3 linked regions of the Callithrix jacchus genome follow. The protein of the gene in region 1 purifies or fractionates together with the protein of each later gene. This does not show direct contact. Links are inferred from orthologs where the notes say so. Each region holds a gene or a part of one and is shown in the gene's direction. Other genes may lie near its edges.

The links.
Region 2: the proteins of DCAF1 (region 1) and CEP78 purify together in Homo sapiens (affinity purification with western blotting; 3 studies listed by BioGRID, with this or other methods). This does not show direct contact. The link is inferred for Callithrix jacchus from reciprocal best matches to the Homo sapiens genes DCAF1 and CEP78.
Region 3: the proteins of DCAF1 (region 1) and COPS5 purify together in Homo sapiens (affinity purification with mass spectrometry; 8 studies listed by BioGRID and IntAct, with this or other methods). This does not show direct contact. The link is inferred for Callithrix jacchus from reciprocal best matches to the Homo sapiens genes DCAF1 and COPS5.

Annotation. Positions count from the first base shown.
Region 1 is NC_133516.1:34,070,992-34,074,741, reverse strand, and holds the start of DCAF1 (DDB1- and CUL4-associated factor 1), read left to right. Parts: upstream 1-1,349; 5' UTR 1,350-1,557; intron 1,558-3,750. UniProt on the Homo sapiens protein: Acts both as a substrate recognition component of E3 ubiquitin-protein ligase complexes and as an atypical serine/threonine-protein kinase, playing key roles in various processes such as cell cycle, telomerase regulation and histone modification.
Region 2 is NC_133502.1:104,719,417-104,723,066, reverse strand, and holds part of CEP78 (centrosomal protein of 78 kDa), read left to right. Parts: intron 1-591; coding exon 592-720; intron 721-3,650. UniProt on the Homo sapiens protein: Centriole wall protein that localizes to mature centrioles and regulates centriole and cilia biogenesis. Involved in centrosome duplication: required for efficient PLK4 centrosomal localization and PLK4-induced overduplication of centrioles.
Region 3 is NC_133517.1:22,942,184-22,945,933, reverse strand, and holds the start of COPS5 (COP9 signalosome complex subunit 5), read left to right. Parts: upstream 1-1,553; 5' UTR 1,554-1,687; coding exon 1,688-1,830; exon of another isoform or gene 1,831-1,917; intron 1,918-3,750. UniProt on the Homo sapiens protein: Probable protease subunit of the COP9 signalosome complex (CSN), a complex involved in various cellular and developmental processes.

The DNA of each region.
Region 1 (3,750 bases):
TCCCTGAGTGGTTTTCTGTTTTCTCCCCTGGATTGGCTCTTCAGTAGGTGGGATTCTCTACCCTTTGGAGAGAGTAGGCACTGAGCACTCTAGTTTCTTCTGACACTCTTCTTCCTCTGTGTAATCCAGCAGTTAGGGGTTCCAGGCTACCAAGGCTACCAGGGTTGCTTTTCTTCTTTTTTTTTGAGACAGAGTCTGGCTCTGACACCAGGCTGGAGTGCAGTGGCACAATCTCGGCTCACTGCCTCCCAGTTCACCACCTCTGCCTCCCAGTTCAAGTGATTATTCTGCCTCAGCCTCCCAAGTAGCTGGGGCTACAGGTGTGTGCTACCACACCCAGTTAATTTTTGTATTTTTCAGTAGAGATGACCATGTTGGTCAGGATGGTCTCGATCTCTTGAACTCGTGATCTGCCCACATCGGCCTCCCAAAGTGCTGGAATTACAGGTGTGAGCCACCTCGCCCAGCCCAGGGCTGCTTTGCAGCCGAGTTTGGTCTATGTGCTTGCCCAGGAAACAGGTAGGAATGGATAGTCAGGCATGGCTCATACATGTAATCCCAGCACTTTGGGAGGCCGAGGTAGGTGGATCATCTGAGGTTAGGAGTTCGACACCAGCCTGGCCAACATGTTGAAACCCTGTCTCTACTAAAAATACAAAATTTACAGGTGTGGTGGCAGGCACCTGTAATCCCAACTACTTGAGAGGCTGAGGCATGAAAATCGCTTGAACCCGGAAAATGTACATCTCAGTGAGCCAAGATTATGCCACTGCACTCCAGCCTGGGCAACAAGAGTGAAACTTCATCTCAAAAAAGGAAAAAAAAAAAAAAAAAAAAAAAAAAAAAAAGATAGTCATAGAGGGATGGCACTGAGGAGAATATCTGGTCCCTGGATCAGGGGCCTTAACCTCCTCTTTCAATAGATCACCCAGAACATCAGTGATCAGGACACTTATATGTACTCAGCTGGGTCAAGGGTCCTCCTCCTGCCCTAGGGTCTCAAAGGACAGGACAATGGTTAAGGAATACAGGCTCAGACCCCAACCATTCTCATCTTTTGGTGATGACTGAGACCAGAGAAACTGACCCCATCTGGAGTCTCCAACAACCCTTCTCACCCACTAGAGCCTGAGGCTGGTCTGGTGAGCTCCTCCAGACTCTACACCTCTCTCCAGAGTCTACAGGCTGCTTATGAAGTCCTTTCTCCCCCAAAGTCATGCCCACTAGTCCCTGGTTGCCCTGGTCCCTGGTCCTGTGGTGGGGCAGCCAGCTTTGTGACTTCATAGAAGGCTATCTTGTGACAAGTCTGGGCCTGGTGAAGCAGGAGCAGGGCAAAGGGGGCTCCCCTTAGGAATATCATGTGACTTTTCATAGAGAGACATCTCCATCTCTAAGGGATGAAGAAGAGCTTCCCCACAGTAAGAGCCCATGACACCCTCTACACCTAGAAACTCCTCTCCTTGAGGATTTTGGCTCCCAGGCCTAACTGGGTACTCCAGGCTGTATCTGGCAACATCTCCAAGAGGGCCAGGCCCACGGTAGAGGTATTTACTTCAGGTGATGGGTGGATCTCTAACCTCTGAATTTGTCCCATTTGACAAAGCCATTTTTCTCTAGGCCCCCCCTCTCTTTTCTTTAATTTCAAATATTATTATTATTATCATTTTTTTATTTTATTTTGAGACAGAGTCTTGCTCTGTCACCTAGGCTGGAGTGCAGTGGAGCAATCTCGGCTCACTGGGTTCAAGCAATTCTTGTGCCTCAGGACTCTGAGTAGCTGGGATACAGGCGCACAGCCGGATAAATTTTGTACCTTTTTAGTAGAGATAGGGTTTTGCTATCTTGGCCAGGCTGGTCTAGAACTCCCAACCTTAGGTGATCCATCAGCCTCGGCCTCCCAAAGTGCTGGGATTATGGCGTGAGCCACCACGCCTAGCCATAAGAATGATTTTTATTTTTATTTTAAAATTATTTATTTGTTTATTTTTTTTAGATGGAGTCTTGCTCCATAGCCCAGGCTGGAGTGCAGTGGCGTGACCTTGGCCCACTGCAGCTTCCACCTCCAGGGTGCCAGTTCAAGCAATTCTGTGTCAGCCTCCTGAGTAGCTAAAGATCATTCTGGGCCGGGCACAGTGGCTCACACCTGTAATCCCAGCACTTTGGGAGGCCAAGGTGGGTGGATCACTTGAGGTCAGGAGTTCCAGACCAGCCTGGGCAACATGATGAAACCCCATCTCTACTAAAAATACAAAAAACTAGCCAGGTGTGGTGGTGTGCACCTGTAATCCCAGCTACTCAGGAGGCTGAGACAGGAAAATCACTTGAACCCAGGAGGCAGAGGTTGCAGTGAGAAGAGACTGCTTTATTGCCTTTTAGCCTGGGGACAGAGCGAGACTCCGTCTCAAGAAAATACAGAAATAAAAAACAAATACAGGGGTTTCTGAGAGCTTGGAGGCCAGGCCAACACAGACCCTCTCCCCAATGTTAATTCCACTCTTCTTCCTCCTGGAAGGATTTCCAACCCCAGGAACCTGAGGCAAAAGAGGCTGGGTGTGCTTGCTTTTTTATCTCCCCAGTACTTGTGCCCATGGACCATGTGGGCACTTACATTGTTGACTTTGTGGCATCTGTTTCTTTCTCTGTAAAGTGAGAGTGGTGGATGTGAATGTAATCAGACATAATTACACACCCTTTGGGAAATGGAGTGGCATTCCCTCTCCTCATTTTCTCTGGGGGGCTATCAGGGCCACGAGGCAGGAGCAGGGCACCCAGTGAATGACTGGGATTTCCTCTTTGTCTAGGCTGGTGTTCTCAAGGATGGTAACCTTGAGCCTCTAATTGGTAGCTTCTGTGACACTCCTGGACACTTGCAGTAGCAGTCTTGTCTAGCCTAAAGGAGAGCAGGGGTGGATATGGGACAGCTGGCCTCACTTCCCAGCCCTAGGGAAGGGCATTGCTGGAGGAAGCACAGGAATTGTGGGGTGACACCAGGGTAAGGATGAGCTGGTGGGTGCACCTGGGTAAGCCTAGAAGGTGCTGGGAGTGAAAAGCTCGTAGAAGGATGGGAGCAGGAGAGGGAGGAGAGTGAAGGAGAAGACTGAGGCCCAGAGAACCTGCTGCTGTCCACTTTCCTACCCAGGTAGTGGGTGTGCTTGGACGTGGGAGTAGGTAGAGCATGCCTATCTGTAGGCCTTGGTCCTGGGGCCAGGGCTGGGCTCTTCTTGCATTTTCTCTGCTTCTGGGCAGCTCCAAAAGCACTCCTCGCTCTTTCAGATGAGGCTTCTTCTTTCTCAGGCACACTACAGAGCAGGGGGTGGAAGAGGCAGGGCAGGGTAAGACAGAGTCCAAAGATGTCCCACCAAAGATGCCAATAAATCTCCTTCCAGTGATGCAGGACCCATGTGCCAGAACCAAGCCAGGATGTGGCCCTGGATTGTCTGTAGCTTTGTGTGTTCATATGCTTAGATGTGAAAGTATTTGTTGTGAGGACTGGGTGCCTAATGCATGCTTGTGTATCTGGCAAATGTAATACTTGAACAGTGAAATGTGTCACCAAGCACACTTGGAATGTGTGTGCAGTTGGGAAAGCCTGGGTGCTCCCCCTTCTCCTTCCCAGAGGTGGGAAGGAGGTGTTTAGGGGTGTCTGTAGGTGCATGGCTGTGTGCATGTCAGGGAGGGGGAGGTGTTGGCAGGGGTAGAGGAGGCTACAGGAGTTACAGAGTGCAGATTCCTGAGGGTGTGGCTGCTGGA
Region 2 (3,650 bases), on another chromosome or scaffold:
TTCTTGTTTTCATTTTGTAGAGACAGGGTCTTGCTATGCTTTCCAGACTGGTCTCAAACTCCTGACCTCAAGCATCCTCCTGCCTTGGCCTCCCATAGTGCTGGGATTACAGTCTATTCTAGTGTTTATTATTCACAGTTTAAATTATTCTTCCAATTCTTTATGAAGCCTCCACTGATGGATTTTTCTCCTAATAATTATACTTTCTTTAAGACTGTGTGTAGTGGTAGAGAAAAAATTTCTCATCTGCACTATAAAGTTGATCTGAGAAAAAAATGTTTATACTGCCTCCTTGCTGGGTTTATGTGAGAAGAATGTAATAAAATAATAGGGGTTCTTTTTGGAAAGATTTTATGAAAAAAGAAAATAATATGGGCAATTCCAATATTAATCATAAACCTTGTATAAGAGAATTCTGTCAGTGACATGGCAAGAATAGGTGTCTTTTTACTTTGTTATTGATTGTGTTAGGCTAAGGTGTAGTGATAGACATGTATAGCTTAACACTTCAGAAAGATCACTTTGATTAGATGTTCTTTATATTTGGTATTTGGTTTATATTATTATGCAATCTTGTCCTCTTTCTTTAAGCAACCAGGTTTTCCTGTGACTGTGACAGTAGAGAGTCCTTCATCCTCTGAAACTGAAGAAGTTGATGATTCCTCAGAGAGTGTTCATGAAGTGCCTGAGAAAACTAGCATAAAACAAGAAGCATTACAGGTACAAAGCTGTCACTTTAAAGATATGGAGAAGTTTATTTCAAACTGCAGTTAGTTTTGGTGAAAGCTTGATTGTGCACTGGACAGCTTGCATGGGATTTTCCCTTGCTTCTTTCTCATATCCCTTGAATGGTTCTTTATCATACAACAAGGTAAAAGGGAGGACGTCTGAACTCTAAGAAATAAAAATTGGAACATGTCATCAGTAATATATTTTTTTCCTTAGAATCATAGAATATTAGATTTAGGGAAGACCTTAATGATCATAAGATAAACTCAAAGAAATTAAGCACTGAATGAATGTACCCAGCTGATTCAGGACCCTTTGGGAGGTCTTATCTTTTTTGTGTATGCTAGGAAGTCCACAATTTATCAAAATAAATACAATTTTCTTTTAGTATGAAACTTACAAATATAGAAGGAATTATCCCTTTTCTATATACTTGTATTTAGCTTATAAACAACAGGAATTTATGTCTCACAGTTCTGGAGGCAGGGGAGTCTAAGATCAGGCAGATTTGGTGTCTGGTGAGGGCCTGCTTTGTGGTTCACAGATGGCTTCTCACCATGTCCTCACATGGTAGAAGGGCAGTTATCTTATTTTTATGTGACGATGGAAGTCACTTTTTGATTTTCAAAAAATGAAGACTGATTTTTATTTCTAAAATTAAAGTTAATGATAAGTAATTAGAGATTTTTTTAAGATAACTAATTACAAAAATAATAGAATATTGGAAAAATCTATAATCTAGAATTGTTCCTTTTATAAATGAGCACCTACAGTGTGTAGCACCTAAGTGGTTTATTACCAAGTTCCAGAGGAAAAACAAAATCCTAGAATGTCTAAGTCATGTTCATTATTGTTTTAAATGTGTTATATTTATTTTCTTCACCAGAGGATTAGGAAATTGTATTCTAAAAGTGATTGTAGCCATTGGGAAAGACCAAGAAGGTTAGGAAATATAACTTGGGAAGTTCTGATTCAAGATGCACTGAGAATTCTCTCAGCTCTTTTCTATTTTAAGAACCCCATGAAATGATGTTATCAAAATTTCTGAAATACGTAAGCCTACAGTAGTCAAGAGAATTGAAGAAATTTCAACGTAATTTTGAAATACAAAAGACAAATGGAAATGAGTATGAAACCGAAGCAGTAGAACAAAGGAAAACAGTCACCTAAAATATGCATAGGGAAGCCTACAGCTCAGAGGGAATCTAATCCCCACTGCAGAAATAGCTCCATACTCAGATATGCATATAGGAGGAAGGAAAGGAACCAGAAATGTGACTAACATAGAGGGAGCTCCTTGACAGTTTGTATATGGAAGAGTTGACTCCCAGCCTTACCTTCACTCTCCTAAAATGAGATCATTTGATTTTGAAAACCAGCAAAGTAACTGGGGAGAACGAGGGTAGATAGTGTGGATTTTGCACCCTAGAAAATGGTAGCTGAGGATATCCTGCCCTACTGGCTACCCACTTCTTCATACATAACAGAAGCTAGTCATCAGCTCCCAATGATCTTCTGCTCCCTTACTCTTAAATAGAAAACAACCTTGGTTCACCTGATAGTTTGAATAAAACTCACAACATGACAAGGAAAATAAAAGATGAAAGATATGTCCTGGTAGGACCAGAGCTAATTAAGAGGACAAAAATACTTTAAGAAAAAACCCTACTAAACATCTTTAGGTTTGTTAAGCACAAGATCAAAAGGTACAGTACTGTAAAACAGAATAGGGTGTTTTTTAAAAAGGAATAGCAGAAAGCAAGGGTAGTCTCTTGGAAATTATAATGGTTGAAATAAATTCATTAGGAATTAAGGAAATTTCTCATTAGCTAGAACAGAAAGGCAAGATTAGAAAATATTTGACAAAAATGATATGGTAGCGAGGTTGCATCTAGGAGGTCTAACGTTACTGTAAGAAAACTCAGAAGATAGAAAAAAATGGATGGAAGGAAATTACAAAACAAAAAAATCAAGAAAATTTGCCTTAGATAGATGCATATAAGTGGAGTCTTTATTGTGATATTTCAAGATACTGAGAAAAGAAAGAAATTCCTGAGAGAAAAATACCAGTCGCCTAAAAAACAATAAAAACCAGACTTTATCATAGTTCTTATCAGCTATCATGGATCCTGGAATTAGAAAGATACCTCCAATGTTTTAAAGGCAAATAATTGTAATAATTGTCAGCCTGGGGTTCCCCCTCCAGCCAAACTGTCAATCGTAAGTTGGGGCTGAATAGAATTTTTTTGACCTGTTCTGTACCTTTTCTTGTTATTTGAAAACGTAGTCCAGCAAAATTAGGGAATAAACCAAGAAGGAAGATAATAGGATATCAGGGATCAGTGGTTTCAATGCAGAGAGCACTGAGTCTGGATTTGAGAGGCTTCCATTGGTTGTGTGACTGCGAACTTAAAAAAACCTTGAAGCATATTACTATGTATTAGGCAGTGTTAGAAAGGAGGAGGAAAGAGAAGAAAAGAGGGAGGGAGAGAATCAAACTCCAGAGGAGGAGAAAGCTTTGTTGGCACAAACATAAAGCAAATTAAACTACTGAAGCAGGAGCAGTGAGAAACAAACCTCTTGAACACCGAACTGAGGAAGGAAGTGGCTTTTTGTTGGCTGGGAATTGGGGGGGCTACAGCTTCATTCACTGAGCTCCCTGAGAAGCAGCAGCTTTCCCTTTTTAAGGGCTCACAACTCTAAAGGGGGAGCAGAGGTGAAACTGTGTCATTGCCCATCAGCCAGGCAGCTGACCTCACAGTCTTTGGCTTTCATAGATTTGCTAATTTATATTTGGCACACACGAGAGGGAAAGAAGGGGAAGGGTTACAGGAGCTGAACAAAGACAGAAAATTACTTGGTGGCAGATGCAACTTAAGGGCAGGGGGTTTGGATTGTGCAAACAAGGAGGACGTGACCCA
Region 3 (3,750 bases), on another chromosome or scaffold:
TGTCGAGGAGTTCGTGTTCAGTATCACTGGGCTGTATATTTAAAGATTAATATGAGTTCCCAAGCAAAAAAGTTAGGAAGGAGCATTTCAAGCAATGCTGACCACATATGCAAAGCCAAAGTAAAGATATTTGCATTGCTAGAATGGAAAGTTTGAGGGGAGACTAAAGAGACATGATGCTGAAGAGGTGCGTAGGGACCAGGTTGTTAATAGCTGTAATGCTATTTTTTCTGTTTTGTTTTTGTTTTGTTTTGTTTTGTTTTGTTTTGTGACAGGGTCTGACTCTATCTCAAAAAAAAAAAAAAAAGGCTCGGCTCACTGCAACCTCCTCCGCCTCCCAGGTTCAAGTGATTCTCCTGCCTCAGCCTCCTGAGTAGCTGGGACTACAGGTGCGCACCAGCACGCCTGGCTAATTCTTTTGTTTTTTCTTTTCTTTCTCTCTCTCTCTCTCTCTCTCTCTTTTTTTTTTTTTTTTTTTTTTTTTTTTTTTTTTTTTTTTTTTTTTAGCAGAGATGGAGTTTCACCATGTTGACCAGGCTGGTCTTACTCCTGACCTCAAGTGATCAGCACACCTCGGCCTCCCTAAGTGCTGGGATTTCAGGTGTGAGCCACCATGCCTGGCCTGTGATGCTATCTTTTCAGGGAAAAAAATATACTGAGGGTGCTAGAGGATAAAACAAGGAAAGCAGACTTGCTCCCTGTGTCTTGAAACTTAAAATTTTGCGCGGATGGAGTAAAGAGATGGAGAAAAAAGAAAATCTAAAACACGTAAACTAATAAATAAAATAACTAAGCATAGTATTAACTGTAGGAAGAAAACTAACCAGTTGCCGAGATTAATTAGGCCTTGGGGGCAAATGAGGTTCACAGCAGTGCCAAAGATTTAACTGTAACCTGTTAAAAGAACAGAGTACTGGGCATTTTCGGATCAGTAATGGCACGTAATTCATATGCAGATGTTAACCTTTACCGACGCGCAAAAAGGCATGGTAATATCAATCAAGGAGTACCCACCGCATCCTCGCATCTCTAGAAAAAGCCCATCTGCATGCGAAGTGCCAAGCCACCACAAGCCAGTTAGCTTTTACGCATGTGCAACGAATCACCTTAAAGTAAACTGGAATGCCATGTTTCTCTTCCTCTCAACAAACTTCCATAACAACGTATAGCTCCGTTTTACAACAGACAGCCTTCCCTTTTAGTCTTTCAACAAACTTATCTCGTTTAAGGTACCTATACCCACACAAAAACACTTTCCGCCCCCCACATCCCAGGCTCCACCTACCTTTAATATGGCGGAGGCCGAGTCTGCGCAGTACAAAGAGAGAAGGTTCATGCCCGTCTTCCGGTGCGGAAGACTATACCATTACCATAGCCTATAATTTTGTTTGTTTATTTCGCACATACAATTTCCCGAGTCCAGATGTTCTCATTTAAACCACAAGAAGATTTGTCTCTCCCTATTAGTGTAAATACTGTTTTTATCGTCACGTCCCGGAAAGACCCCTGTCTTCTCTGAATGGTCTGTACTAACTGCACCTCCGGTTCTAGGTGTCATGGCTGCCCCAAGAGTCTAGTTAAGAGTTTGCTCCCGTGGGGCGGAGGGTCCAAGGCCCACACCAGGAGACCTAGCGAGGTAAAGTTGTCCCTTGGTTGTGGATACGACAGCTTCTCCGTTTCCTCGGCGATGGCGGCGTCCGGGAGCGGTATGGCCCAGAAAACCTGGGAATTGGCCAACAACATGCAGGAAGCTCAGAGTATCGATGAAATCTACAAATACGACAAGAAGCAGCAGCAAGAAATCCTGGCGGCGAAGCCCTGGACTAAGGAGTGAGGAGGTCCCTGGCGAGACGCAGGGGAGGGAAGGGGTGGCGGGAGTTTAAGAGACCCGGAGGGAATGGGAGTTGAAAGGGTTCTGAAGAGCTTTCACCGACGGGGAGGGGGACAGAATAGGCGCTTTGGATTTGCAAGTAGAGTCTAAGCCCTCCTCTGGGGCTTTGACTCCCTTTTTTGTCGCTTTAACCCATTTGTCCCCGGATGATGTCAAGGGAGAACAACAAGCGGTGATTTAAATTGTTGCTTCTGAACATTCGTATTGTCATATATGCCCCACACACTGCCTTGAACCCAGTATCGGCATGCACCTTGTTTGGGTCTTCTACCCCAAACTGGGGACTGCAGCTGTTTGCAGAAATCGAGTCAGCAGCCCAAGGTCTCAAAAATAGCTATGAACTATTTTATTTTATATTTTTTAAATAGAGATGGGTCCTCGCTGTGTTGCTCAGGCTGGTCTCTAGCTCCTGGCTTCAAGCGATCCTTTCCCCTTGGCCTTCCAAAGTGGTGGGATTACAAGCATCAGGCCTGGGCCTATAATAGTTTTTCGATTGCTGGTAATTATTTAGGAGACACACGGAGGCTCTACCTGGTCTCTAAAATGTTACTCCACCAGTCCCCATAAACCAAATATTATAAAACTAGAGCTTAAGGCTCTTTGCCCTTTAGCAATATCCATTTTTCCCTGGGAGTGGTGACAAGTCAAGGGATCTTTACCCATATTTTCTTTTTCCTGAGAGCAGTGTTTGGGAGAAAGTAAAAAGAGCACAAAAGCTAATGGATAGATAGAAAGGAGAGATGTGGTCAAAAAGAAGACCTACTTCTACTGCTTCAGTTTTTTTTTTACAGGGCTAGCCTTGCCTTTCAGTACTCAGACGAGATCAGGTGCGTTCAGGGTGTTACGGCCGTAGACGTCTCTCAGTATTCAGATTCCACAGTGGTGAATTGTGGAGGCACCTAGCTAGAGATTTCCACCTCATTTAATCTTGATGACAACCCAGTACAGTATATCTATCCTTTTTTTTACAAATTAAAAGAAAAAACAAGCAAATGCATTATGTAACTTATGGTCACACTGAGATAAGTGAACTCCTAACTGAGCATTAGTCAGACCTAAGATCAAATCTCACACTATCACTAACTAGTTAATTGACCTTAGGAAATTTACTTATCCATCTTCAATTATCGTAACATGTAAATAAGACCTACCTATTGGTGTTGTCATAAAGATGAGATAATGTATAAAAAGAGTCCTCTAAAATATATGTAAGAGGAGCATAGTAATTTGTCTTTCTTCGTTTCTCCAGTAAAGGGAGAAGCCAAGATTTCGATTCATGTTTTGACTTCCAACATGAAGTCTACACATTTTTCAGCTTTCGGTTGAAATCTGGCAAAGCTTAGGAATTAAATTTGGATTCTTTCTGTGGGCAGACATCTAAAAAAACTTTGTAGATACGTTGACTGACTGCTCTCTATGGCTGATTAAGTTGCTTGGTTGTCTTCTTTCTGTAGCAGGCTGCATTTTAGGTTGATGTACTCTTAAATATTTAGAAACAGCCTGCCTCACTGTCTAATTATGACTCTAATTATATTCATCCTAGCTATCTTGGACTGCATCAATGAGACAAAAATGTACTTTTATTCAAGAGTTTAATTTACTGATGACAAATTCTGAAATAGTGATCATAGGAAACTATAATCTTAGAGCTACTTTTTAATTTGAGGCTGACATACAGGGAATCCCACCCTTCAACACACTGTTCTTTGAGAATAGGATTAAAAGACAGGTTAATAATTAATAATGCTAATGACAGCTAGCACTTACTAGGTTTCTAGTATGTGTAAAGCACTAAGCTAAGCACTTTATATACATTTCATTTACTTTATTTCATCATAACAACTACTGTGAATATCCCT